Linked DNA regions of Mus musculus: all the other regions are reported to be linked to region 3. The links are microRNA targets in miRTarBase. Many come from high-throughput screens and were not tested one by one. Region 3 holds a microRNA gene; each other region holds the end of a gene's coding sequence.
What was found. The annotated mature microRNA mmu-miR-3065-5p reads UCAACAAAAUCACUGAUGCUGG and lies in region 3 at 1,960-1,981, shown strand. An mRNA with a match to its seed (bases 2 to 7 or 8) in the 3' UTR can be bound and repressed. Matches are read on the target gene's strand: a 7mer-m8 pairs with bases 2 to 8, a 7mer-A1 pairs with bases 2 to 7 and ends in A, and an 8mer does both.

Region 1 (7,116 bases), not on the chromosome of region 3:
TAAGTGGATATCAGCCCAGAAACTTAGAATACCCAAGATAGAAGATACAATTTGTAAAACACATGAAACTCAAGAAGAACGAAGACCAAAGTGTGGCCACTTTGCCCCTTCTTAGAATTGGGAACAAAACACCCATGGAAGGAGTAACAAAGTTTGCAGCTGAGACGAAAGGATGGACCATCTAGAAACTGCCATACCCAGGGATCCACCCCATAATCAGCCTCCAAACGCTGACACCATTGCATACACTGGCAAGATTTTGCTGAAAGGACCCTGATATAGCTTTCTCTTGTGAGACTATGTCAGGGCCTAGCAAACACAGAAGTGGATGATCACAGTCAGCTATTGGATGGATCACAGGGCCTCCAATGGAGGAGCTAGAGAAAGTAGCCAAGGAGCTAAAGGGATCTGCAACCCTATAGGTGGAACAACAATATGAACTAACCAGTACCCCCCCCCCCCGGAGTTCATGTCTCTAGCTGCATATGTAGCAGAAGATGGCCAAGTCGGCCATCAGTGGCAAGAGAGGCCCATTGGTCGTGCAAACTTTATCTGCCTCAGTACAGGGGAATGCCAGGGCCAAGAAGTGGGAGTGGGGGTGGGTAGGAGTGTGTGTGTGTGTGGGGGGAGGGCATGGGGGACTTTTGGGATAGCACTGGAAATGTAATTGAAGAAAATACCTAATTTTAAAAAAAGGAAAAAAAAAGATAATTATTTTATGACTTTTTCAAGGTTTGTAACTGCATCACTGCCAGCTATTGGATCTCATATTAAACAGCTCCCCTGTATTCTTTTGCTGCACTGTTTGCATTTCACGGGCAAGCAAACCCTACTCCATATTGTTTTCTCTGAGACCCAGATCTTGCCTGAAATCTTTCCGTTCTGTAACTGTTCTCTTAGATTGTTGTAAATCCCTCTCTGGACTGTAACTTGGGAACCTGCAGGGATACCTGTGTATGAATATGTAAGCATATTCCCTGTAAACACACTGGAGGCGACCCTAAGAAAGCAGACACACCTTGCGTGGATGTGCTTCTTTGTATTTTTTTTTTCTAGCTTTTTAATGCATTGACTGCTTCACGTTGACTTGTCCTCAAGTTCTTTTCTTTGACAAAGCTACAAATGGAGAGTTCTCCCAGCCTGGAAGTCTCTACAAAACCTCCCTGGGCTGCAAGCAATGAGAGCTTGGCAAGGAAGGAGCTGTGCCCCATCCGACCTGACAGCCGTGCAGTGCGGGAGGTAGAGCAGTTGGACGTGAGACTCACCCACTGCTCATACTCCTTACACTTTTTAAAAGTGCATTCTGGGACTTTATTGTTAACTATTTCTTTATTCTTAACTATTTTTGAGGCCCACTAAGGAAATCTATTTCTTTTTGGTCAAAAGAATGTTATTTACTCCTGGCCAAGTTACCCAAGACATAAGAGTTAATCCAGTTGAGCTGGCCCACCAGCTGGGTAAACCCTTAGAAAGGCCAGTTCACTCTAACTGATGCTAAAGAGATAGAGGATTACTGATCCCTTTAATGAGATAATGTACTTTCCCCCTAGAAAGCTGGGCCCAGGTGCAGTTACTATTGAGTTACCATGAAGCTTTGTTAGTTCAGTCCCCTCAGAAAAGGGGGGAGGGGTTGTTTTGCTTTGTTTTGTCCTGATCCCCGCCCCCTTCCAACTCCCCAAAATGGTTCTGAACTTGAGCATGCTTTCTCTCACCCTTGGGCTCTCATCACTTTTTCTCTGAAGCCCTAGGACATACAGCTGCTTGTTCCACTTGTGGCTGACACCCATTGCTAAACATTAACTTGACATGGCTCTCCAACGTCCTCATTCTCTCCTGGTAGCTGCTGTAATTTCCAGCTCACCTGCCATGTTGTTGATTAAAGTCTAATAAAATTGTCCTGGAGCTTCTTTCTGAGTCTGATAACAAATTATTTTATTGATAAGACTAAGAACCCTGAAAGGGGTTCTCAATTTCCCCAGTAATATGATGGTGTCGGTGGGGCACCCAAATTTCCAGTAATAACTCAACATTGGTCACTATAGATTTAACATAAGTATGTTCAGATTCTAGTTAAAAACTTAGACCATTATCAAATCTTAAATGAAGAATTCAAGGGTTTCTAGTGCTGTAAATACAACCCTAGGAATCCCAGTACATTAGACAGAAAGCAGAGAAACTACAGCCAAGGTTTGGAGCATTTGTTTAATATACAAAGTCTTTCACAGATAATTAGTTTCCTTAGTTTGTTAAGCACACATTACTCACAAACAGTAAATTGTTAATGAAAGACAATTAGGTAAAACTAAAAATGTACAAATGCCCAATCTCAAAGAATTGCACAGTTAATACTTTCTCCTTTGTTTGAATGTTATATCTAATTTCAACATGGGCTTCCTTCAGATATGGGGGAAACACTGCAGCCCAACAGAACAGCTTCCTTTTAGTTGTATTGTTATGTAAAATAGCACCATTGGGCTGATGGAAGGACCAGTTACAATAATGATGGTAGGTTTTAGCTTCTGCACTTAGTATTTGCTCCAAAACATCCATTGGTAAGGCAAGATAAATTATATCTGACAGATGGAATGAATAGATTCCCTCCCTCCCACCCCCACCTTTGTGATTTCTCTTGATGATGTCATTGTATTAATGACCTCATTTTTTAGTTGAAGAACAAATGGAGGCTACCTACGTCTTCACAAAAGAAAAATTATCAGTATGGATGAGGGTTATTTTGTGGGATATCATCACCAGTAGCAGCAGCAGCAGCTCCTCGAAGTGAAGTTTTGATCCTGGGACAGTCTGAGAAAGACTACTGTCTGCATTGTAACCCTGGGAAATTGGGACTCAAGATTTTCTTTTTCTCCATTTTTGTAGGGTTTTATACTTAAGTTTACATGCTTTGGGTCACTTTACTCTTTCTCTCTCTCTCTCTCTCTCTGTCTCTCTCTCTGTGTCTCTCTTTCTCTTTCTCTTTCTCTCTCTCTTTCTCTCTCTCTCTCTCTCTCTCTCTCTCTCTCTCTCTCTCTCTCTCTCTCTCTCTCTCTCTCTCTCTCGTGTGTGTGTGTGTGACTGTGACTAGAGACCACAGAGACCAGAAGAGGTGGAGTTGGAGCTACAGGCGGTTGTGCCCTGTTACGTGTATGCTGAGAGCTCGACCAGGAGCTTCTATGAGAGCAGAAAGTGTCTAACCACTAATGCACCTCGTCCATCCCTAGGCTTTACCTTAAATGCTTTAATTTACTTCATTTCTCATTGACTAATTACACCTAGTGAAAATGTCAGCTCTTGATAGGAAGCGCTTTCGAAGTCTGGTTTATGGTGTTTCTTAGCACAGCTTTATGTTGTGTTTATAAAAATCCACTTTTAACAATCTAAACTCAGGGATAATTTTGTTTTAATTTCACTTTATTTTTTCCATGAGAGCAGGTAAACACACTTGAAGACAATGTCATTCTGTCAAGCTGGTTTTTCTCCTTGAGCAGTAAGTCAGGCCATCAAAGCCAAACCTTTCATTGTTATTAAGGGAAAACACCATTACCACACAATGTGAAAAGATATTTTCATTACTGGATTTATTCATTGAGTTTTAAACCTTGTTTGTTTGTTTGACTTTTGAAGAAAGCTCTCATGCAGCCTAGGCTAGCCTTTAGTTGGGATTCACTATGTAGGAGAGGATAACCCTGAAGTCCTAAGCTTCCAGAGTGTTGGGATTACAGGTGTGTACCTACTATGCCCGGCTCCAACACCACTGTTGTATATATGAATAGTTAGGGCAGATGGTTTGAATCATAAATAGTAATTTCAGGTAATAATTTAGAGGAAAAAATGTGGGTTTTAAAGCATCAAAATATATCAGAATAATCACTGTGTGGTACATACGCTGTTCAGAATTCTATCATATACTCATTTAAAAACAAAGCTCACCATAGTTAACTTGAAGCGTTTAGCTATTACTTTAAAACAATGTGCTATCTTTTCTTATTGTTGTAGCAAAGCTTGTCTCTGCTTTTTATTCTCTTTGTTTTAGTACTGGTATCCACCTTGGAAAATTAGTTGTAGCCAACCACCTTCCTCTATGAAACAAGCTACTCAAATATCCATCTTGGTTGTAAACAGTATTTTCTGTGGTAATTAAGGTATTTAACTCATTTCTTCCTGTGGTAAAAAGGTAAATCATTTTTAGTTTGCACTTGCAAGAAGAGGTAGATCTATCTCTTCTTGTGCAGTATTGGTAGACGACAAATTATCATCATAGGAAGAGCAAGGGGAACTATACAGAAAAATTGAATGATGGTCAACCCCTTTGTGTGAAGTCACGGGCAATCCATCCATCCTTCCTTCCTTTGCTGTCCTATTCTTTTTAAATATTTAAAATGAAAACTTTGCAGGAAGTTAATACAAAGTTCCAGTTATTTGTGCTGAAGGCCTGGTCCGGATTAGTTATGTCCATTGCTTTGTCCGTGCATATTTAATCCATGTCCCTCCTACAGGTTTTAAGAAAGATGAGTATTTAACCTTTTGTTGTTTGACTTGACTTGACCTTAACATTTCTCTTGCATATATACATGAATATACAGGTCATACACAATTGACATTGTTTACTGTGTCTTTATTTCTAAGGGTGGGACGATTTGGACCCAGTGTCAGTCACTACAAATACTCTTCTCATTGAAAGATCATTTTGTCTTTCCTTTTCCTTTATCACCCACGAAGAACAAACACTGATTATTACAAAGTTCATGGATATGGATCCCAGATGTGTGCAACGTGATGCCCGTGCTTTGGTTCTTAGGGCCATCTCTGCCTCTTCAGGATAATAAATAATGACAGCTAACAACAACAACAACAACAACAACAACAACAACAACAACAAAAGTCACTTTAAAAAATGTGGTCATCTTTCTTTCGACAGCTAACTACTGTTTGTGAGTATTTACCCAGCTCATTGCAGTTATCATTCATATCAGTTGATTTGAGTCTGTGTAGAGCACAGTAGTCAGCTGTTGAACCGACAGCCTATCTTATCTCTCACCATGGAATGTATTGAATATTTTTACTTTTGAGCTGAGTGAGGGAAATACTGTCAGGTTTAAACACTGGGTTAAGATCCTTAATTAAGGTACCCATGTCACGTTGACCCTCCATGTGGATTTAAAAACCTTAACACACCTGATTTAGTGGCAAAATAATTTTCCCTATCATAATTACTTTATAGCTTCTATACAGAAGTTGACTTCATAACATTGCTACACATTTTACTGACTTCCTATACTTTTGTGGTTTTTTTTTCCGCCCCTTTGAAAGTTGGTTGAAATCAAGCCAGAATACTTAATGTGGTGAGTTTAGTGCTTTGTAAATTGTAACCTTTAAATGAAACTGAAAAACAGAATCACAGATTAAACTGCTGTTTTAAAATAACCAACTTAAATGAAACAGATGTAGTTTCTAATGCAAGGGCTCTGCTAACCAATATTCTTAATTAAATCCTGTCTGACACACTTTATTCATATTGAGGTGTGTCATAAATACATGCAGAATTTTGAAGACTTGGTTCAAGAAAATAATGAAAGCTATCTTTTAACTGTTTTCATTGATGACATGAAATAACTTGTATATGTAGAGTTAACTAAATTATGAAAATAATTGACCTATTTATTTTTACTTTTCCTAATGTGGCACACTAGGAGATTTAAAATTTACAACTGTGGTTGCCTTTGTAGCTCGTGTTATATATCTGTTGTTGAGCACTGTGTAAGAGGGACCAGAAAAAAACAAAAACAAAAACAAAAACAAAAACAAAAACATGGCATGATAGTGGTCCAAAAAACAGTGAAAGCTAAATTCCACAATGCCCTGAAAATCTCTTCTTCCATCATTTAAACAAAATTTTAAACATTTCTATCATCAAATGTGTATTGCATCCATTTAAAAACATGCATCTGTCAAAATAACCAGACTTCACAATAGCCAGAAAAAATCAGCTGTCAAAGTATAAAAAAAAAACCCTCTCAAGTCCTCCAAGTTTGCTTCTGGTGTGACTTAGGGATAACGCACACACTTTCAGGCTTAAGACCAAATTTTTTGTTTTGTGTGTGTGTGCGTGTGTGTGTGTCATTTCCAGTGGAGAAGGCTAACATTACAGAACCCTACAAAGAAGCATACATTGCAATTGAAGTCTGTTAAGGGATTCCTCTGCACTACTTGAAGGCGTATCACATGTCCATCACTCTGGAAGACTGGCGTGTACCAACCATTCCTTATGAACTCATTCCCCAAGACACTCTGCCTTTCCAGGTCCCACCGACGGCTCTGCTTCTTGAGATCCTGGTCATGTGTTATTTTCTTCTCATTTCCTTTTTGCTCCAAGTCAGGACAAACAAGACAGTAGGGGAAAGGAGAAGATTAAGAAGCCACCAGAGCAGAAGCACTTCTGTTGGTAGTGGCTGGGGGCTGCAAAAATCCTTCTGTGAAGAAGTTCCCCTCTAGTTCCATCAGACTGGTATAACCTCAGGTGGGGCTCCCTCTGCAGTTGGCAGTGTATTTGAACCTGTCTGTGGCACAGGCACAACCACAGCATCCTTGATTTCCGTGTTCACATTACACGGGAAGTTCTTCTCCAGTTTGTTGGCAGTGTCTGGGCAATTCTGCACAAAGATCACACGGTTGTAGGCCTTCAGCCGGCGCCACAGTTGGACGTAGACTTTACACTGTACATACATGAAGACGAGACCTCCCGTGAAGCCAATAGCCACCACAACCAGTTTTGTCCAAAATGGCCATTCCAGCACACCTTTGAGAAAGAGAGAGTGCTGTTATCAAGTTGTCATTTCTACATTTGGTGTCCCCATCCCCCACTATGACCCTTACTGAGTACACTTGCTTCCCTGAACCATGTTAGGCAAAGGGAATGGGGTCAATTTGCGGTTGCCCAAACTATGAAACTGAGCATTTTCATTATAGTCACACTAATCAAAAAAACAGTAGACCTGATTCATTCTCAGTTGTTGTGGGTGTGAAGATTTTTACTGAACGGACTAATACAAACTTCAGTACCCTGGCAAAAGCTTTCATATTTTATGTCCTATTGTTCACTTGTGGGGCTAGTATTTGTGA
Region 2 (7,116 bases), not on the chromosome of region 3:
CTGCGGGCTCCGCGGGCTACCAGTGCAGTATGCGGGCTATGAGTCTGTACACCGGGGCCGAGCGGCCCGCGCACGTGTGCGTTCCGCCCGCGCTGGACGAGGCTCTGTCGGACCACCCGAGCGGCCCCGGCTCCCCGCTCGGCGCCCTCAACCTCGCAGCGGGTCAGGAGGGCGCGTTGGGGGCCTCGGGTCACCACCACCAGCATCACGGCCACCTCCACCCGCAGGCGCCACCGCCCGCCCCGCAGCCCCCTCCCGCGCCGCAGCCCGCCACCCAGGCCACCTCCTGGTATCTGAACCACGGCGGGGACCTGAGCCACCTCCCCGGCCACACGTTTGCAACCCAACAGCAAACTTTCCCCAACGTCCGGGAGATGTTCAACTCGCACCGGCTAGGACTGGACAACTCGTCCCTCGGGGAGTCCCAGGTGAGCAATGCGAGCTGTCAGCTGCCCTATCGAGCTACGCCGTCCCTCTACCGCCACGCAGCCCCCTACTCTTACGACTGCACCAAATACTGAGGCTGTCCAGTCCGCTCCAGCCCCAGGACCGCACCGGCTTCGCCTCCTCCATGGGAACCTTCTTCGACGGAGCCGCAGAAAGCGACGGAAAGCGCCCCTCTCTCAGAACCAGGAGCAGAGAGCTCCGTGCAACTCGCAGGTAACTTATCCGCAGCTCAGTTTGAGATCTCAGCGAGTCCCTCTAAGGGGGATGCAGCCCAGCAAAACGAAATACAGATTTTTTTTTTAATTCCTTCCCCTACCCAGATGCTGCGCCTGCTCCCCTTGGGGCTTCATAGATTAGCTTATGGACCAAACCCCATAGGGACCCCTAATGACTTCTGTGGAGATTCTCCACGGGCGCAAGAGGTCTCTCCGGATAAGGTGCCTTCTGTAAACGAGTGCGGATTTGTAACCAGGCTATTTTGTTCTTGCCCAGAGCCTTTAATATAATATTTAAAGTTGTGTCCACTGGATAAGGTTTCGTCTTGCCCAACTGTTACTGCCAAATTGAATTCAAGAAACGTGTGTGGGTCTTTTCTCCCCACGTCACCATGATAAAATAGGTCCCTCCCCAAACTGTAGGTCTTTTACAAAACAAGAAAATAATTTATTTTTTTGTTGTTGTTGGATAACGAAATTAAGTATCGGATACTTTTAATTTAGGAAGTGCATGGCTTTGTACAGTAGATGCCATCTGGGGTATTCCAAAAACACACCAAAAGACTTTAAAATTTCAATCTCACCTGTGTTTGTCTTATGTGATCTCAGTGTTGTATTTACCTTAAAATAAACCCGTGTTGTTTTTCTGCCCAAAGTTCGGACAGTGTCTTTGTGTTCTTGAATTTTAAAAGGGAAATTGTAGTAAGCCCAGTTGTGATTATTTTTGTGATGCAGGTGGCCTGGTACTTGGATGCATATACAGGTTACAGGACGATGGAGCTCTCGATTAGTAATAGAAGGGGCTCTTGATTTGTTGAACTATCCCGTCCTGAGATATTTTTGTTTTCTGCTCAAGGTAATCTGAGAAACTGTTCTCCATCCACACACGGACAGGGCTGCCTGAGGGCAACGTGCTGCTGGCCTGTTAACGAAATGCTTTGCGGGATGCAGAAAACTGTTGCCAATTGTCAAAACAAAATGGTGTCACCCTGTCTCGGTGTCCAGCTGTCCTCTGTTAGAGGGGAGAAACCGAGAAAGGACAAACGGCCTGCAGCTTGCTAACCTCAGCGTAGCAGGAGCCTGGGTGAGTGCTCGGCTCCCTCCATTTCCTTAGATGCGGACTTGTTGCCCCTGTTGGCGTTTTAAGAGTGCCAGCAAGAAGCAAAGAGGGTTGGTAGGTCTCTGGTATTTAACTGCCGGCTTTGGGATCAGATTAGAAGTGAATTTCAGTCTGATTTATTTCTTAATTTGGGCTTTAAATATTTTACTCCGGCGTGGTGGAAAAAGAAGCCACTGTGCGCCTCCAGCATGATATTTTAGCGCTGAAATGGCTCTGGTTTTCAGCATGCTAAGTAACAGGGAGATTATTTTTCTTTTTGATTCTTGTATTTCATTTCTTTAAAAAAAAAAAAGGAAAATAGATCGGGACAAACCTCTCTAAAATGTACCTGGCTGGCTGGGGGTGGGGGTGCCTTACCAATCTGCTGCCTGAAAGATACAGCTTCAGCACAGGCCTGCGTGTTGGACTTTAGGCATATCATGGATTCCCACGCCAGTTGGTAACCTGGACTGTGCTAATGGAAGTTCTTTCTGCACAGAACATGTAGGCCAGGAGGAGGCAGGGACCCGGGAGGGGGGTGGACTTTGCAGGTCATCTGCTTAGCTTAGTGGTGGCCACGGGTTAACACGTATATAGTGTTACTGTTGAAACTGCAAGTTTTATATCTGTGCTGTTTTGATGTAGAATTTGGGGAGGTTCCTGATGATACTACCCTACCCGTGTATGTAAGACAGTCTTTCAACCTGCAGTGCCAGAATGTGACCCACACTTCAGTATCTTCCATAAAGTGGGGGGACTAAGAACTGGACAGGGGTGCTGTGGAGGGGGGCAGGCCAGGTGTATCTTGGTTCCTGAGCAGAGCAGAGAGCTTAGGAAGGGGTCGGGAGATCTCTGGTTCCTCCCAACACTGGTTTCATTTTGCATGGCTCTCTTCAAACCTCTTGCCCCAGGAGAAGCGAGCTTTGTCCAAGCCAGCTGGCTCGCTCCTTTCCCAGATGTTTTAGGGGCCTCCCTGAAAGCTTGCCCTCCTCTTAAGATTCAGAACTCCTGACCCAGGGAAAGATAGGAGGCTTTGTGGATGGGAGCTTTTTTTTAAAGAGGACCGTTCTCGTTCTCAAGTAGGTAGCTAGAGAGAAGCCCCCTGGAGCAGGCCCTACTTGTGACTGTCAGGGAACCCAGGTTGTGTTGTAGGCTTTTCCCAGGCCTCCCAGAGCAGCGGTGTGAAAAAATGCGGTCCTGGGAAAAGTTGGTCTGGGGTGTTGCTTCCTCGAGCAGTCAGGAAGGGAAAGGATAGTTCCCAGAAGGTCAGATTCCTAAGGTTTGCGCTGAGTTCACATGCTAGCAGCCCTGCTTGGCCCAGCCTTAGAACTAGGGGCTTCATCTTCATTCCAGATAAACCCAGAATCCACCACACCCCACCCCAGCAATATTGCCAGCAGCAAGGGGGCATGGTGGGGCCACAATATTGGAGTTCATAACAGCTGCTATTGAATGCTTGGTAGTTTTTGGATTAAAACTTCTATGGGGACACAGGTTGTTCTTGGCCCTACATGGGTCTATCTTAGGTTTCTCTGTCACTAGCAAGTCCAGTCCAGGGCATTCTAGGAAAGGAGGGGGGGCAAGGAGTTCTGAGATGGAAGCCCTGGAGTGCCTACCCCAGGCCATCCAACTCTGCCAGGATGATTCTGCTCTTTACACAAACACAGCTTTGTCTGATAACCAGGACCCAAGAAGCCGATGCGGCTGGGCAAAAGATACGGCAGATAAAAACCGAAAGCAAACGCAGAGACACGGGCGGAAACCTTCATGTGGGTTTATCCCAAGTACAGGCCGGCCTTAACCAGGTGCACTGATCAAACACCATCCAGTTTTGAGGACAGATCCAGGTCTTCGGAGAGCCCTCTGTGCCATCTTAGGCTGAAGTTTTCAGGAAGTGCCTGCTAGCAGAGTCCCTGCCCGGACCCTCCCCCAACCAGGTTGGATAGGCAGCCACAGCCCTCACTCTCTGACTCAGGTGTTCAGACTCCACAAATGAAGAAATTGAGGATGACTTGGATGCGGGATGCGATGCGTCCAACTGGGAATTCAACTCCTACACCTCAAAGCACAAACCCCTGTCACCTGGGAGTCACCAGGGATCCTGAGATTGACAAGTTCATCATTCTTGTCTTCTCTTACTGAGGTAAATGAAGGTCAAAGGTTAGAAGGAGCTGAAAAGGAAGGGTTTCTCTGGGGGGATACTGGTGTTTGCCTTGTGGACCCTCAGGGTTCTCTTCCCTGTGACCCTCCTGCCTGGATCTGGGTAAAGCTGGTGAACATTGAGTTTCCAGCACCCTCCCTACCAAAGTTTGTTGGCTGCTGTCTTCTTCATCCTTGTTCTGGCTCCCAAATCCAAAGGTGGGGGGTGGGGTGGGGGGTGGGAGTGGAGATGGGAATCTCCAACTTCGTTGTTGCAAACCAAAACAGACAAGTATGAATAAAGATACTTCGAAAATGCCTCACAGCCCACACAAGGACTAGGATCTTGAGAAGGCGCTGGGATCTCCCAGCTTGCAGAGCTCCCTAAAACTGCCCCACACCGCTGTGCCACCTAGCCTGCCGCTGGACACCCTGGCCGACCGACTTCTGTGCCCTGAAGATGGGTCAGTGGGTGGCTCAGCTAGAAGTGGAGACATCTGAGTCCCACTTGATTTCCAATTCAAGTGGGGTGCAGGACTGGGTCAGAATTCACAGGGTGCCATCTCCCCTGCCCCTCAGACCCATCGAGTCCTGAATATTTGGGATGTTTTCCCAAACTTTGAGAAGCATTCCCTATTCCCTGCCCGCCTTCCTCGCCTGCCTTCCACTGGCAGGGCCTTTGAAATGTGTGCTCTTTTTTTTTTTTTTGAGACAGGCATGCAACCGGGTAGCATACTTCCAGAGCATTAGGTTGTTGGGGACAGTGTCTGGGAAGATGCAATGCGCCTTTAACTTACATCAGCCATCCTTTCAACACCCCTGTGCAGGGACGACAGCAGTCCTTTCAACACCCCTGTGCAGGGACGACAGCAGAAAGACACGCCGTGGGTATTTTTCTATTTTGGAGCCTTGTCTTTTGGGGTGGCTGTTTGTCTTTCTAAGAGTTCAAACCCACCCTGGGGTCCGTGAGAGTGCACAGAGCCAGGAGGAGCAGTAGTGGAGGTACAAAGAGGTAGAGCCCTGTAGTGGGAGGTTTTGACCTGTCCTGTCCTGTCGGGGAAATAGGGCCCCCGACAGGACAGGAGTTTTCAGACCTCAGCCTCTGGCAGCCTCTGGCCTTCCAACCCAGAGTGCCTGGCGATTCCCCCAGGCACTCTGCCTCCTGGGGACGGACATTCCAGGCCCAGTACACCATCGTTGTCTAACTTCGTCCCATCCCCTTAAGTATTGGGGCCAGTTTCTTGGGTGATATTTCTTAGGACTGTGAAAAAGCATTGTAATGGGTGTGGGTAATGGGGGCAGTCCCAACTTTTAACTCTGCCAGGCGGGCGCTCTCAGAGGGATGCTCCCATCTCTCTTGCCTATCTGGACGGCTTTGAGTGGGGTAGTGGACACGCCCCAGGGGCGACCTTGTGAACCTTCCCATCCTTACTGGGAACAAGGTGCGTGCGCTATAAGTAAGTAAGTCATTTGGGAAACTCTGCTCAGCTCTCTGGGCCTCTTCTTTTCTAAAGGCCCCACCTCCCATCTACACACCCTAGGGAGAGCAGGGGTGGGGGAGGGCAGACGCTGCTGGGCCCTTCCCAAAGGAGGAGGGAGAAGAGCAGAAAGCCTTCCAGGTTTGAAAGTGAGGATTTGGGGGTGCACTGGCTGCGTACCTCTAGCATCTCTTCCTTCTCTGCTCTTCCTCACTCTTCTGGGGACACCTGAGCATTCAGGCCTCACTGTTTCCACTTTTGAGGACAAACTGTGACTCCTGATTCCATTCAGTCAGCAGTAGCTGGAGAGTAACTTTGTGGCTTAGCCTCAGTTTCATGCTCTGTGGAATGGGTGCATCCTTGAGGCATGTCTTTCACATTGGCCGGGAGGGTTATTTTCACAGGAGTCCTGAGTGCCTCATATAGGGCACCTGTAAGATGATTTTGACCCTGTCTTTGGGACAGGTCTCTCTGGGAGAATTGAGATAAGTTAACACAGCCTCAGTTTCTTGATCTGAAAAAAAAATGGGAATAACAAATGCTTCTTTAATTTGTGTGTGTGTGTGTACTCGTGTACGTGTGTATATTACTGGGAATTGAAACCAGGAGTTCTCACACGCTGGACAAGCATGTCACATTACTCTCCCTACAACCCCTTTATTTAAAGTCGTTTATTTATTATTTTCCAATTCTGTCCCTGAGGCTAGAGTTACAGGTGCTTGTGAGCACCCCACCCCCAACCCGCAATGTGGATGCTGAGAGCCAGACTCCTTCAGAATGAGCGCTTGTAACCCCTGAGTCATCTCTCCAGCCCCAACCCCCCCCTCTTTGAGACAGGACTTCATGTACCCTAGGTTGACCTCAAACTTGCCATGTAGCAGAGGATGGACTTTGAACCTCTGATCCTCCTGCTTCTACCCCTTAGATGCTGGGATTGCTGGCATAGGCCTCTATGTCTGATTTATGTGGGCTTCCTGAATGCTAGGCAGGCATTCTAGCAGCTGAGTGATAGATAACCCCCCCATCCCTAATTTTCTCTCTCTCTCTCTTTCTTTCTTTCTTTCTTTCTTTCTTTCTTTCTTTCTTTTTTTCTCTCTCTCTCTCTTTCTTTCTTTCTTTCTTTCTTTCTTTCTTCTTCTTCCTTCTTCCCTTCCTTTCTTCCTTTCTTTTTTTAAATTTTGAGACAAAATTTAAAAATCTCACTGAGTTTGCTGGCTTGCTAGGAACTCACTGTGCAGCCTAGAGGGAACTTGAACTTGGGATCATCCTGCCTCAGCTTCCTGAGTAGCTGAAGTGGCAAGACGCTCCAGGCTGCTGCTTCTTGTAGTGGGGGTGAAAATATTTCATGCAAGCACCTCCCACAATCAATTACACAGCACACTGTGGTGCTCAATACACTTTAGTCACGATGCTCTCTGTCCATAGCCCCTCCCCCATACAGGGTTTCCCTGCGTAGACCCGGCTAGCCTCAGACTGAGATTAGCCTGCCTCTGCCTCCCGAATGCTGAGATTGAAGATATGCATCGCCCGGCTGTAAAACAAGTCTCTAGAAGCCATTAACGCAATAGATAGAATACGGACTGTCTGCGTTTGTCTGTGCTCTCTTGGAGAGTGCCAGGAGAGCATAAAGAACTCCATGTGCGTCATGTATTATTAACCAAGTATACCCGTGGGAGAAAGGAGGTGGCTTCACTTAGCAGGTGCTAACAAATGCCCGGGGCCCAGTGAGCCTGTGAAC
Region 3 (7,112 bases):
GTACGGCTGCGCACCCAACTCGAAAAGCTCCCAGATGGTCACACCCAGGGACCTGCGGGAGCAACCACAGTGACACGTGGCTGAGCATGACTGCACAGAATCCCTGAACACCTGTCATCATGTCAGCCTCTCTGGGACTGGACCTCACTACGCCACAGCCGCCCCTCTCTAGAGGCACAGATGCAAGGCAGAATCCTGTATCCCTTAAGGACAAGTGGCCTTCAACAGCATCTCAGGATGATTTTTAACCAAAATATGGTGCCAGTATTGGGGGGGTGTCAGTTGGTCCTATCCTGAAGGCCCCATACCCTTGACTGTCAAGGCAGTCCCCCCTACACACACACACACACACACACACACACACACACACACACACACACCAGTATAGGAACCTCAGGAACCCATCATCAACGAAGTAGCCTGTAAAGTGCCTCTCATGGCCACAAGGTGGCAGGCATGAGTACACTTTCCCTGTGTGGCAGCCCTAATCCTAGCCAGAGAAGGAAGTCAAAATGCTGGAGCAGGGGGCAGAACTGAAAGGCAGCATCCCCACTAGAATAGCTGACGCCAGCGCCATCTGGGGAGGCGGCATCCCAAGGCCCTCCCGGCAGCCCTGCCTGCGCTCACCACACGTTGCTGCTCTTGGTCTGGTCCACCACCAGCAGGTTGCCGTGAACCTCGTCCACCAGCTCTGGCGCGATCCAGCGCAGCGGCACCCACAGCTGGTCAGCGGTCACGAGATAGTCTTCCTGTAGCACGCAGGGACAGGATGGGAGTGAGCTCCGCTCAGCAGCTGCCCCTGCACACGGGCCCTGACGGCCTTACTCACCCTGTATTTGCAATGCGACAGGCCATAATCACCAACCTTCACTGTCAGGTCAGCCGTAAGCAGGCAGTTCCTCAGGGCCAGGTCACTGCGGAGTGGAAGGCAATGTCAGCAGAGTGTGCCAGCCTGAGTGAGCCCTGGTGGAATGGTTGGGCTCCCGGGCACAGCCAGGCAGACCGACAGGAAGGGGTGTCTGAGGGGCCACCCACTTGTGCCCAAGTTCTGGCTCCACACCCTGTACTGGCTATTTTGGAAGACCTGTGTGGACTTCAATGCATTTCTAATACTTCTTCTTCTTCTTTTTTTTCTTTTTTTTCCAGACAGGGTTTCTCTGTGTAGCCCTGGCTGTCCTGGAACTCATTTTGTAGACCAGGCTGGCCTCGAACTCAGAAATCCTCCTGACTCTGCCTCCCAAGTGCTGGGATTAAAGGCTTGCGCCACCAAGCCCGGTTTTCAATGCACTTCAATGCATGTGAAAATCAGGCAAAAGATGCTCAAGGACGACCCCCCCCCCCCAGCAAAGTGCTGTCTAACTGCACCAGAGCCCTAACCCGCTCCACCCTCTGTCTGATCTGCCCAACAAGGGCCAACAAGCCATGGAGCAGAGAGTCTGCAGTGTCCTCTCAGGACCCTCACCCTTCCGACTACACTCCACCATCCCAGTCCCCAGGAGGTAAGAACTGATGGAGAAACCGAAGCCCGGAGTGTCTCAGAGGGTCCTGCCAGCAGTCAGAGCCCATGTTCTAGAGTGCAGCCCTGCCTGGCCTGCTACACAAGCTGGAGCCGAGGTCTAGAACAGTATGGACCACAAAGGCCCCTTTGTGTGGAGGATAAAAATCACCAACTCAGTGGGAAGCCTGGAATGCCAGGCTCTGTATAACTCTTGCTTGGCTATAGCGCCCCACCCCCAGGTGTTTGGGGTACAGGACAATAGAGTGCCACGGGACGCACCCTCATCTGCCATACTGGCTGTTCTGCTGAGAGATCTCTGGATGTAGATGGGGCCACCTTGGCCTGCCTCTACCCCAGGAGGACTGTGTCAGGGGACAGGGTGGGGTGACCTGGGTCCATGCCTATGGGTGGGGCAGCTGGGCTAGGCAGCAGGCAGGGCAGGAGGCTGGCAGCTGCCCTCTTCAACAAAATCACTGATGCTGGAGTCACTGTGCACCCACTCAGCACCAGGATATTGTTGGGGAGGACGGCCTGTGCAGCGTTGGAGCTGGTGGGCCGCTTGTCCGTTGCCACTTCTTCCAGCATGTGCCCCCAGCTCATGGGAGGCTGGGCATCCTGGCCACCAGAGGCAGGAGAGAGCCACCCCTCCCACTACAGGGCCAGCCCAGCCACTCCCTTTGTGGCCTGAGGGAAAGAGGCTGGGGTTGGTATGGAGCCCAAGTATGGCTGACTGCTCTAGTAGACAGGATGGGTTTCTTCATTTAACTGTCTGCAAGGTGAGTTTCAAATGCCAAGTCTTCACAATTTATTTCATTTTGAGATGGTCCTGCTACATAGTCCTGGCTATTCTGGAGTTCATTAGGTAGACCTAGCAGGACTTGAACTCACAGAGATTCTCCTACCTCTGCCTCCCAAGCGCTGCAATTAAAGGCGTGAGCCACCATGCCCAGTTAGTTTTCCCAGTTCTAAGAATGATAAAGTTCCCTGCAGAGTGGCTATTTTTAGATGAACCCAGTTCATGAGGCCCACAACGTGGGATCACCGTGACTTTTCTGCACAGGGTCGTGTGATGGTGAGGGTTAAGGCCCTGGGGGAGTGGGGCTTTGTAGCTGTAGCCTGGCTAGTCTCGCTAGCCCTCACCTGTGTACATAGTTGTGTCGATGTAGATGCAAGACGCCACACGCCACCTCGCACGCCATGCGCTGCAAGGTAAGTGGGTCAGGCGCCATGGACTCTGTCACCCGGCAGCTCCGTAGATAACCTTTGAGGTCCCCCTGATGGACGAGAGAGCACACAGTCACCTGCTAGCTGCAGCGACCAGCCCATCACAAGTCTGCCACCCACACCAAGAGAACCTGGGTCTGGTGGCCTGTGGATCAGCTGTGAACCCTAGTGTTCACTGCTGTTTCAGCAAAGCCTGTGTCTCAATTCTGGCACAGTGACCTCCATATAAGCAGCCACCAGAGCTGTGCATGTAAAGGGCCCAAGGGGCAACACGAAGACCCAGAACTCAGGCTCTGCCCCAGGAGCTTCGGGAGCCCTGTGGCTGTCCCAGGACACCTCTCGCTGAACTATCCAAGACCCCACAGTGTTGCCCCTGCTGCTGCTGGCTCACTTTCTCTCCGCAGACCTCCTCTGAGGGAGAGCAAGGACTACCAGGACTCTACTTTAGAAATAACAAAAGACCCCAAGAGGCTGAGCAAGAGAGGAGCCACTCCCCTTTGGAACAATGAGCTACAGAACAGGACCGGGAGAGACAGAGCTACCTCCCCGAGAGGACCACTTACCAGTGGACAGAACTCCATAACCAGCAGGTAGGGGGTCACTTCAGCACACTGGGCCAGGCACTGGAGCAGGTTGCTGTGCTGCAGGGCCCTGGAAGAGTCCACGGGTGTTTAAGTTGGAGGGCAGGAGAGGGTGTCCCATAGCCCTCAGTTTCTCCCACTGTGCTGCTCCCCTGCCCGGCCCCACCCCGCCCCCGCCACACCACCCACCTGTAGGGCTGCGCCTCCTCCAGGAACTGCATCTGCTCCTGCACGCTGGCGCTCACCTTCAGCTCCTTCACCACCACCTGCGTGCCACTGACGCCCGAGTGTACCTCCCCCAAAAACACCTGCCAAATGTGACAGGCATCACCAGGTCCCCTTTCAGTCTCCATAGGAAAAGCCATCTAGCGCCCAGGGCCTCAGATGGTCATACAACTTCTCACCAAGCTCTGGCTAGAACCCTCAGCCCCAGTCCACCCACAAGGCTCCTACTTTTCTCACTGCCTGGGGACTACAATGAGGAAAAAGGAATCAGGTACATGGTCCAGTCTGGGGCGGGTGTTAGAAAGAGCCCCTCCCTAGGGGATCCCCAGGAGTAGTGGGTCCACCCTTTGCCATTCCTGCCACCCCGGGGCATGCTTACCTTCCCAAACCAGCCGTGGCCAATCTCCTTTAAGTACAGGAGGCTGTGCCGGCCCAGGTCCGTGGACTTGAGAAGTTGCACTAGAGTGGAACAGAAATCCAGACACAGCTTAGCCACCGCTCCCTCTCCATCTTCCCGACCACGCTCTCCAGAGCCCAGAGAGCTTTCCCAAGCTCCCCAGCCAAAGAAGCTTCAATAAAGTGGAGGCCAGGTTTGAGCGCTGTCATCGAGGGCCAGTGTCTCTTAGGCTCTGGGGTGGCTGCTGTCAGCAGAGCTATGGACCTCAAGTCTCCATCCAGGCAAAGCCTGGGGATGCCCAGAGCAGAGCCACAGGGAGAAGCCAAGCCCAAACAGCAGGGCCTGGAAAGGCGTTTGGATGAGGCAGGAAGCTGGTGCCGAGGCCTGGGAGGACAGCAGAGCAACCAACCCCCTACCCCTGCCACAGGCTGGCATTCAAACCCCCACCACAGCAAAGCCGCCTTTGTTGGGGGCTGCTTGGCACAGCCCTGTACGGGACACACTGGCTCCATTCTCCCTGTGAGACAGGCAGAGTGAAGTCAGAGGAGAAGAAGGGTCAGCGTGGGCAGAGGAAAGGGCCAGGGCTCACTGCACCCACTCATGCCCCCTCGGATTCTCTGAATTCTGCTCCCACGCTGATAGCCCAGAAGGCCGGGGTCAGGGCTGCTGGGACGCCCAAGGGAAGATGGCAGCCCTCGGGGACTAAGTCTGCTTGGTGCCCAGCTCATGGAAGAGTCTCACCGGGCACTGTGCCCCCAAGACTTACACCCTGAACCTAATCTGTCTAAATGCCTGGTGGAAACCCTGGGGTCTCTAGGACCTCAGTTGTCCCAGAGTGGGTTCAGGGTCCTGACAGTAGAACCCAGGGCAAGCACAGGGGGCAGGAGAGTGCTTGTATGTTAGGAGCTAGAGGTAGAGGAGGCGGCTTAGGTGGGCTGACCCATCTCACACAAATTTCTCCCTCCTTGAAAGAAGATGCACCCCCCCCCCAAAAAACCCAAAAAACAACAGAGCTGAGCAGTGCAAAAAGCACCTTTGCCCTCTCCTGGGTCCCTGTCCCACTGTCCTTGGCCATAGATAGCCAAGCCTGCCTCCTAGGAGGTGCTAAGGACACCTGCAGGCCTTTGAGCCAGTGGGTAAACGTGTCCATGTCTGGATCCTGCCTGACTTTTGAGCTCACTCCCTTGAGACTCGATGGGCCACAGAGCCATGCATTCAGGGTTGGGTCAGGCTGGTGGCGACCAGGGCAGCATTTATCTAAGTCTCTATTGGCTCAAACAGGTACTTTGATGCAGGCTGGGCCCTGGATGGGAAGCATTGTGTTGAGAGCCTGGGAGGGCTGGCCCAAGGTTAAGAGCGGCCTGCTTTTCACCACAGGGATGGGGCCAACCGCACTCTCCACTTGAAACCTTCCGCGGTGTCCTTGGCGCCATCAGATGGACAAGAGACAGCCCTGAGCTGAAACTTCCAGGCTGTAAAGGCCTGAGAGCTGACTGTTGTAGAGGTAGTCATAGTCCCAGGCACCAAGGTGACCAGGGCAGCATTTACCCGTCACCTCTAAAGAGGAGGGGGGTGGTGGTGGTGCAGGGAGAGGCTCTGGAAGGAAGGCAAATGGGAGAGGCAGACAGGGCAAGGAAGCTATGGGAAGAGGCCCTGCCTACACCTGGGTTGGGGGTAAGGGGGTGGGCATTGATGCTTCTCTTGTTCCCTATGCTGTGTGGGTAGCCTGTTTGGTAGGGACAACGGGGCCACATTCCTACAGGTACAAAGGAGCAGGAGTCTGGGAAGAACAGAGGTAGATGGATAATCCAGAGTGCTGAGCCACCTGCCCCAGTTACCTCATGGCAGCCCCTGGGGTGGAGGAGCGACAGACAAGGCTACTCTCAAGCCTGGGTCCCAGAGGGGCTCCACGCACCTCCCAACACAGCTCAGCCTGAGATGCGGCCAGGAGACCTCGGCTTCCCAGTGCCCATGCCCCAAGCGACCCCACACCACTCACCGGAGCGACCCGGCTGCTTGGCCATGGGTAAGGAGACCTCGGTGAGGGGCAGGACATACACATCGGGGCCGGTCTGTGCAGCTGCAGCCGGGGAGCCCTGCTCCGAGAAGTCGGCCACATACTCGTCCCCTTCAGCATTCTCAAACTCCTGTGGGTCGGGCCGGCACGGGTGGGTGAGCAGGACACAGGCTAATGGAGGCAGGCTAGGAGAGGCCCCTTTACCCCCAAACTCAACCTGACTTACACAGGCCTACAGCATGGGCCCCTGCCACATGGCCATTCCCCACCTGTTCACCGGCCCCAATTCCTCAGGGACACCATCTCAGCAGAGGTCAAAGGCCTCAGGCCCAGGTGGGGCTGGGAACCCAAGGCTGAGTCCTGCTTGGAGAAGGGCTAAAGAGTTCAAAGGGACAGAGGCAGAGTAGCCCCTCATAGGCCCTGTCAGTGGTCTCCTCCCTGCCCCCACCCCCTGCCACCCCATGGCTTAGAGCAGATTTACAGGCAGGGGCTCACTGCACATCTCGGGGAAGGTAATTCGGTTCCTCTTCCCTAGCTGGGCAGGGAGCAAGGAACCCAGGGACTTGTTCTTCATCCACACCTCCACTGCCTGCCTGCATGCCGTGGGGTACCCTCAGCCCTGCACCCCCCCCCCCCAGTGCACCCTAAGAGCTTGCTCCTGCATCCCTGGAGATCACTCTGGGGACAGGCTGCTAACTCTGAAGACTATCAGCCTAGGAGAGACCACCCGACCCCCACCCCACCCCATCTAGATCACATTCCAAGCAGCATTAGTCTGGGGTAGGCCACAGCCATAAACAAGGACAGGGTTTCTCGTGGAAGAACACTTGCCCTAGAACCACAAACAAACACATCAAAACCAAAACAGGAACAGAGCAGAAACCAGGCCAGCTTGTCCTCAGCACCGGGCAAATCTCCCTGCCACATCTCCCACCCAGGTGAAAACTGGGCTCTGAGGACTGGGCATAAACCCGGAGCTTGGCTGCCCGCTCCGGGCCACGTTCCTGCGGACAAACGGCTAAACATACCCTGGGGACCTTTTTCTAGGTCATCTGTCTTTCTGTAAAGGGGGTGGCCCTACATTCCTAGTGGTTAGCCCAGCTCTGCATTCTGAGAGCAGAGCCTCTAACACCTGTGGCAACTCTTCCTCCCCGGAGCCTAAAAGACCAC
Region 4 (7,112 bases), not on the chromosome of region 3:
CACCTGGGACATGTCTGAGGCACTTGTAAAGGATGCATAGTCCTTAAAAACAAGTTTCCAGAAGCAGAGGCCTGAAGGAGGACAGTGGAGTGAAGGGAGGACTGTTTTAGGTCCATGGGAGGACTGTCTCCCTCAATCCCACTCCAGCCAATCACACTAAGCAATTCCCAAGTGTGTCCCTTTCCCACCCAAATATGGGGTTTTAAGTGTCATATAGAAGTTTACAGGTGTTAATGTGTGTTTTGAGAGAGGGTCTTGGCCAGGCATGGTGGCACACACTTTAATCCCAGCACTCAGGAGGCAGGGGATTTCTGTGCATTCAAGGCCAGCCTGATCTACAGAGTGAGTTCCACAACAGCCAGGGCTACGCAGAAGCAGTCATTCCTGTCTCAAAAAACCAAATAAATAAAAGACAGGGAGGGTCTCAAGCAGGAGCCTCACCTCTCTGAAAACCCCTGGGGTAATTCCAAGCTTTGCTCTGTGCCCCATTTTACTGCAAACCCTCAAGTCCTGCCCTCTCCTCAGCTGCAGTAAAACCACCTGGCCCACATCAGAGACCACTGCCTTGTTAGAGTAGGCCTGGGCTTGTATGGTAAACAGTCACATCCCAGGACTAAACCTCCATTTACAAATTTCTCCTTTATTTTACGCCTCAAAAGGAGACTGCTCCTGCCCTTCAAGGCCTTTGCTGTGGTCAGCTCCACTCCTGACCTCAGGACCCTGGCCAGTTAGAAGCGCTTCCTCGTGGTGGGTCTGACTTTGGTGTCATTTCCTCATTATTTGTGCACCCAGTGACCCCAATACTCACTAGGGTTCAAACTCAGATTCTCAGGCTTGACAATAAGTGCCCTCACCTGCCAGGCCATCTCACTGGCCCAAGATGTATTCCATATGGAAAAAAGCTCAGAGGCGCAGAGCACTCCAAGTCCTAACATGAGGCTCAGGGCTAAGCACGGATGGAGAGCGTGCCTGGCCACAGGGTACAGCCAGGCGGGGCCCTCCATTGTTCAGTAACCCATCACTCTCGGCTAGTCTCTCCTGCAAGGTGGCCTGACTGACAGTGGGAGCTGTGTGCAGCGTTTGCCAGAGCTAAGTTAAGTTCCTGCTCTGGCTGCCCCGGGCTTCACCCTTCTCCTTGCAGCTTGAGATTCCTGGGGACTTCTAATGTTTTGGGGTCCCTTGTTTACTATTCTGATAGACAATAGAGCCCAGGTGTCCTTCAGACACTTCTGCCCAGGTGATACGCTGTCCGACCCGTGTGGCACTGATCACCCAGCTGGGAATGTCAGCAGGCTCCTGTAAACCCAACCAGGAGCATGGCATCCGGTGTCCCCACCGATGACTGTTAGTTTATGACTTCCTATGACTATGAAAGTTTGCAGCGCGTGACAGCCAGGGTGACAGGAATCTGTGTTCCCAGGCCAGGGTCACAAGCCCCGGCTTGGCAAGAATCACCCCATTTCTTCCCTTTTGTCAGGCGGGGCTCAGCTGACCAGAGAAATTTCAGGCAGTGAGGACCACAGGAAAGGGAAGGGGAGGTCTGACTTCCACCGTGGGATTCTCCAGACCCTTAAAATAAGGCTGGGTTTGTGGGAGGCAGGGGGTACATCCTAGTCTACTCCAAAAAGAACGTACAGGTGTTGACCCCAGACCCAGGAGGGCTGAGGGAGGAAGATGGCTTCAGGCCAGCAGTCAGAGGCTGGCTAGTGTGGACCATAGCGGGGTTCCAGTGGTTTGAACCTGCTGAAAGTCCCCAGTAGGTGACACTGGATGCACAATGACAGGTTTCAATGACTTTATTGGTTCTGAGTAAAGAGCGTGGAGTTTCCCCGAGTGCAGCCTGGCAGGCCCTTCTCCCTTCTATCCCCCGGGGTCAGGATGCTTGGTGGGAGCTCTGGCCTCAAAGAGAAGACATACTGGGCCTGAAGGGTCTCAGAGGGCAGAAGTGCCCTGTTGAGAGGATAAAACATCTGAGGTACTGGGGGGTCCCATACACCAGCCAGGCCCCCTGTGGGGGCACCCAGGAAGCGCTCCCTAAGGTGTGGCTTCAGCTGCCCTGGGCGGAGCCAACCCAGGCTTTGAGGGAAAAGAGCCTGGTGCCAACCAGCATTAGTGAAACCTCTTTTTATAAAAGAAAACCCTGTGGCTCTTGGGGAATAAAAGTTTGGTGGTAACTGACTCCCCCCTGAGTCACCTTGCCCACCTCTCTCCCTCTCTTCCTGATAATTTGGTTTTTTGTCTCTCAAATCCCAGCCTGGCCTCTAACTTGGAGTGTAGGGGGAGGCTGGCCTTGAACTCTTGTTCTGCCTCCAGGACCATTGCCTGGATGATGCAATCCTTACAGCTTGTGACCAGTGTCCCTGACACCAGTGACAGGCCTTACTGACAGGCATGTTTAGTGGCTGTGGCAACTCAGGATATAGCTTTTCAAACCCAAACATTGACTTGGGTTCATTCCCCTACTGCTGCATATAAAGAAAAAAAAAAAAAAAAGAGCTATGTGCCCTGTTTTCTAGTCCAGACACTGTACTTTGGGGGGGGGGGGCGGGAGGCATTTCACCAGACACAGAACACCAAAGCCCCTCTATCTGTTTGCTCTCTCCAGCCTGTGGATGTAGAGAAATGGTGGGCTGGGGAGGGAGGCCACCTGCCTGGGTACACATTTGAGAAGCCATCGGCATGCATAGGGACCCCACAGGGACCCCCACAGCCCCAACTCTCAGAGTCCAGGCTCTGAGAGTAAGGCTTTGTCTCTATGTTCCCAGAGGGGACTCTGGGCTCAGACACTCCAAGGGGTAGAGAGGTCAAGGGTGAGCTGTCTAGACAGTGGGAGGGAGAAGGGCAGGCTGGAGGCGCTCTCCTAGCATACAGCAAGGTCACCTTGGGGGCGCAGGCACAAGCATCCTGTGCACACAGCAGCTGGTCTGACTTCCAGCCAAAGTCCTCACTCAAAAGCACCTAGAGTCTGCTTTTCCAACTTCCCCCAGCCTCGGGGTCCCCGCTTTCCTGAAGGTTTACACGCCAGCTTGAGAAGTACAGGAGAGAGTTCCCATTTTAGCTGAAGCCATCAATTTAACTTCAAAGATCTGCCCCCAAAGCAGGCTCAGGCGGAGGCTTAACCCTGCCATCCCTGGGACCTGGAGGCAAGGAATTCAAGGTCACCCTCAGCCACATAGTGTGAAGCCAGCCCAGGCTACACAAGATCCTGTACCACCCCCCACCATCTCCCAAAAAAATGAATTCAGAAGATTGGTGCCCACTATGGTGATCCTGCCTCCAATTCTTGCAGTTTGGCCCTCCACGTGGCCTCAGGAAACACTGGAGTGGCCCAGGGCACAGCATGCTGGTGTTGGTCTGAAAGCTACATCTCCACACCTAAGTTGATATCATAAATCAGACACTTTCTCAGACTGGCTGAGACCTCAGATTCTACCACTGCTGTCCCTGCACAAGTCCCTGGCTTCAGGTTTATGCCATGTTACTTCTCTTGCTCCGCTGGGCTAGCTTTCTACTTTGCCATTAATGGTAAGGGCCAGCCAGGCCCAGGTCAGGCTCTGCCCACACATCTGCCTACCTCTTGAAGCCCCACCCACACTCCCCAGGGTAAGCATGGGAAATGAAGGTCAGTGCTGGGGTGACCTGGACCTCAAGGGTCAATGTGACCAGTCTAGGTGACACCTGGCAACTACAGACCCTGAGCCCTACCTGCCAAAAAACGACAAAAAAAAAAAAAAAAAAAAAAAAACAAGTAGTTTTGGATCAGGGCAAGGGGTGTGTGTTTAAGAGATACCTAAATAAATAACTACCAGCCCCATGTCCTGGAATCCCCCTCAGCTCAACAGTGGGGACTAGAACATGACATGTGCACCCTCCTGGGGTCCCTGAGCATGGTGTTCCCATGCCAGGGACTTTGGGAAAATTGAGAGTGGAGCACAGCCCATGGTCTTCCTAAGGAAGACTTGCCAGGCACTGATACATCTGAAGCAGGACTGCCACACGTTGGAGGGCCAGCCTGAGCTACAGAGGTCAGGTAGAACTCTGCCTCAGAACACAAAAACAAAGACATACGGGAACCAAAGTCAGATCCACCTTGGTCATCTCAGGGGGAGGCTGAGGCCACAGGACCAGGAGTTCAAGGCCTGCCTTGTCTACATGATGTCTCAAAAGCCCAGAGCCCTGGGGAATCCCTTACTCCTGAGCCCCCATCTTCCTGCCCATGGCTATCTGGGAAACTGCAGGGCCTCTCTCTCTGGAGAAGGTGTTAGCACAGGACTGGGGGGAGGGTAAGAGGGGGAGCCCTCGTTATTCAAACTGCAGGCCCACACCCATAGATGCCTTTGTAGGGACAGCAAATCACCCTGGGGCACTCCAGGGTGCCCTCAACCCTGAGATTCAGAAAGAGAGCCAACCACTCAGATCTCCATGTGGCGACAAATAAGCTTCAGACCCAGGATCAACAAGATGATGACATGAAGAAACCACATCAGAACAAGGAACACTAGAGCTTAAAAGTAGCCAGGCCCAGCACACAGGCTTTCACAAGCCCTGCACTGAGTAGGCCGAGGTAGGAGGGTCAGGATTTAAGGTCAGCTTCAGCTACAGTGAATTGGAGGCTAGCCTGGGCTATAGGAGACCCAGTCTCACAAACAACAAGAAGATCCAGGGATGAGAAGTCACTTCAGAATTCAGATCCATCAATCCCGTGGGGACACCGAGGTCTCTATCCATCCACAAAAGAGAAGGTGGCATCCACAATGTACTTGGCTTCACTGGCAGGAACTGTACTTGGTCTTGGAAGGAGTCCAGGTCACATGCTACATCCCACCCTTCCTGAGAGCCCCTCCTCCTGGCTTGGCAGTTCAAAGTCAGCCAGAGACAAAGGCTGGCTGGAGTCCCTGGCACACTTCCAAATGCAGTTCAGCAGATATCCCTGTGGCTGATAGGACATGCAGGGACATGCCTGGGCACCGCAGCCTCTCACCCCAGGTCCCTCACAGGATATTAGAGGCTGGCTATCTCAAGATGGAGAAAATCCACAGCTCCAGGTGATGGTTCACACGGTAGGTTCTGGGTCCCAGGTGGGCCATGTGTGGTGGCAAACACCTGTCCCCTTAGTGCTTAGGAAACTGAGGCCAGAGGATCAGGAGTTCACACGAGGCCAGCCTAGGCTACCTGAGACCCTGTCTCCAAAGAAAAAACAAACAAACAACAAATACCCTCTAAAGTTTAGAGTATCTAAAATTTTAAGAGTCTTAAAATATCAAAAAGAGAACAAGAAAGATCATGGCAGGGTCGGCTCCCCACAGGCACCAGAGGCTACTGCGGCCAGGCCCTTGGTGGCCATAGCAGCCTGCTCTTCTGAGCAAAGGGAACCCACTATGGAGACCCAAAGTATGATGGCATTTTCAGGGCAGGAGGCAAAAGAGGCCGCCCTCCCCAGGAGAAAGGAAAGACACTTGTTGGTTAGGCCTGAAGTCTTAACAATGGGAACATAAGTTACGCTGTTCTGTTCTAGCACTGAAGGAAGGTGGGTACAACAAAGAAGGATGGGGACAGACAGAGGCAGAGAGAGACAGACACAGACAGAAACAGACAGAAGATAGAAAAGGCAACCAGGTCCCAAGTGGCTTTGGCGGGGACCATCTAGGGTTTAAGACATGGATTAGAGCTAATCTACTTTATGATACTTTGTGAGGCCCCAGCCACAGGGCAAGCTTCAACTCCTTGTCCATACACCTGAAAATGCAGACTGCGTCAGGGTCAAGGTGGCCCCATGGCATGTGTGCAGACCACTAGCCCTGGCCTCTGGGCGCAGAAGTGTCCCCAGATGATATTCAGATGGGAGCTCTCTCAATTGCCCCCTTGTGGTCCATTAGGAGGGGCAGATGAGTCAGGATGGCCCCTCTCTCGGCACCGCACCCAGGTGTACATGGCTGTCAGAGCTGGCGGCAACAGCTGATGTCTCCCTCGGCTTGCTCCAGGACACCCAGCATCTCCTCGATGATAGCTCGTAGCGCCCGGCCTAGCTGGTCGGCGTTGTAGGGCTTACCCAGTGGGGGCACGTGGACAAAAGCGGAGCGGCCGCGGCCCTGGTAGAGCGATGTATAATACGTGAAGTCACACAGATACCTGAGACAGATGGGAGGAAAAGTCACAGTCACTATGTCCCAGGCCAAAGCCACCAGGCTTCTGAAAAGTCCTTCAAAGCTCTGGGGCACAGCTCTGGGGCACAGCTGGGAGGTGGAGGAGAATCTAGGGGTCAGGAATTTGGGGGACCCTGGATGCCTACTCTCCATTTTCTGAAAACGTATTTTGCTGGGCATGCACTCAGAAAGCAGATGCAGGTAGATGTCAGGCTGAGGCCAGCCTGGTCTATGCAGAGTTCCAGGTCAACCTGGGCTACACAGAGAAACTATCTTCAAGCCTAAGGTGGAGAGTGACTGAGGAAGTTATCTGCTGTTTCCTCCCCAGCCTCCCTGCTGGAGAGGAAGCCCCCCCACCCACCCCTCAGGGCCTGGAGCCTACCTGCCAGCATCCTGGGAGATGGTAACAGACACGTCCAGTCCCAGTGTGGTCACCCTTTTGCACACGGCGTCCATGTCGATGATGGAGTCGATGCTCTCGGGACCATCCTCCACGCAGCACTGAGAGCCGGGGCAGAACCGGCAATTATCCAGTCCTTTGTAACCCTTGTTGTGCCCACATTTTTCCAGCGTCACTGTGGTGGCCATGCCCGACACCCCAACATGCACTACGAGCTGGGGACAAGAGACAATTGGGGGACGGTTAGCAGGAGCAGCACCCACCCATACATGGGGAATAAAAACAGTGAGTCTCTGTTGTTGTTGCTGGAAAATGAGCTATTAACGTGGCTACCTAGGAGCCCAGGGTGGCCTTTGGCTTCACCTTTGAGACAGGGTCTCAGACTCTCATGTAGCCCAGGCTGTCCTTAAATTCATGATCGCTAAGACGATGGTTATCTACCACCACTGTACCTTGCTTGAGGTATGTTTTGTTTTGTTTGTTTTTTAGTTTTTTGAGATGGTTTCTCTGTGTAGCCCTGGCTATCCTGGAACTCACTCTGTAGACCAGGCTGGCCTTGAACTCAGAAA

Region 1: miRTarBase lists Marchf1 as a target of mmu-miR-3065-5p. Seed matches in the 3' UTR shown: 7mer-m8 at 4,871-4,877.
Region 2: the mRNA of Foxc2 is a reported target of mmu-miR-3065-5p. Seed matches in the 3' UTR shown: 7mer-m8 at 1,118-1,124.
Region 4: the mRNA of Pgpep1 is a reported target of mmu-miR-3065-5p. Seed matches in the 3' UTR shown: 7mer-m8 at 5,535-5,541, 7mer-m8 at 5,207-5,213 and 7mer-A1 at 4,454-4,460.

Annotation. Positions count from the first base shown.
Region 1 is chr8:66,467,909-66,475,024 of GRCm38, reverse strand. Marchf1 (membrane associated ring-CH-type finger 1) reads right to left here. Exons shown (of 9, transcript NM_001293784.1): 9 at 3,388-6,793. The coding sequence ends at 6,495. Among named protein-coding and RNA genes, the nearest start is that of Tma16, 15 kb to the left of the region's middle.
Region 2 is chr8:121,117,579-121,124,694 of GRCm38, forward strand. It overlaps Foxc2 (forkhead box C2), which reads left to right. Exons shown (of 1, transcript NM_013519.2): 1 at 1-1,317. The coding sequence ends at 521. Among named protein-coding and RNA genes, the nearest start is that of Foxc2, 5.0 kb to the left of the region's middle.
Region 3 is chr11:120,012,821-120,019,932 of GRCm38, forward strand. It overlaps Mir3065 (microRNA 3065), which reads left to right and starts at 1,947; the gene lies at 1,947-2,033. It overlaps Aatk (apoptosis-associated tyrosine kinase), which reads right to left. Exons shown (of 14, transcript NM_001198785.1): 3 at 5,925-6,072; 4 at 3,908-3,987; 5 at 3,493-3,611; 6 at 3,286-3,373; 7 at 2,639-2,772; 8 at 830-914; 9 at 628-749; 10 at 1-52. Mir338 (microRNA 338) reads right to left here and starts at 2,042; the gene lies at 1,945-2,042.
Region 4 is chr8:70,644,657-70,651,768 of GRCm38, forward strand. Pgpep1 (pyroglutamyl-peptidase I) reads right to left here. Exons shown (of 5, transcript NM_023217.4): 4 at 6,526-6,758; 5 at 1,780-6,129. The coding sequence ends at 5,937. Among named protein-coding and RNA genes, the nearest start is that of Pgpep1, 12 kb to the right of the region's middle.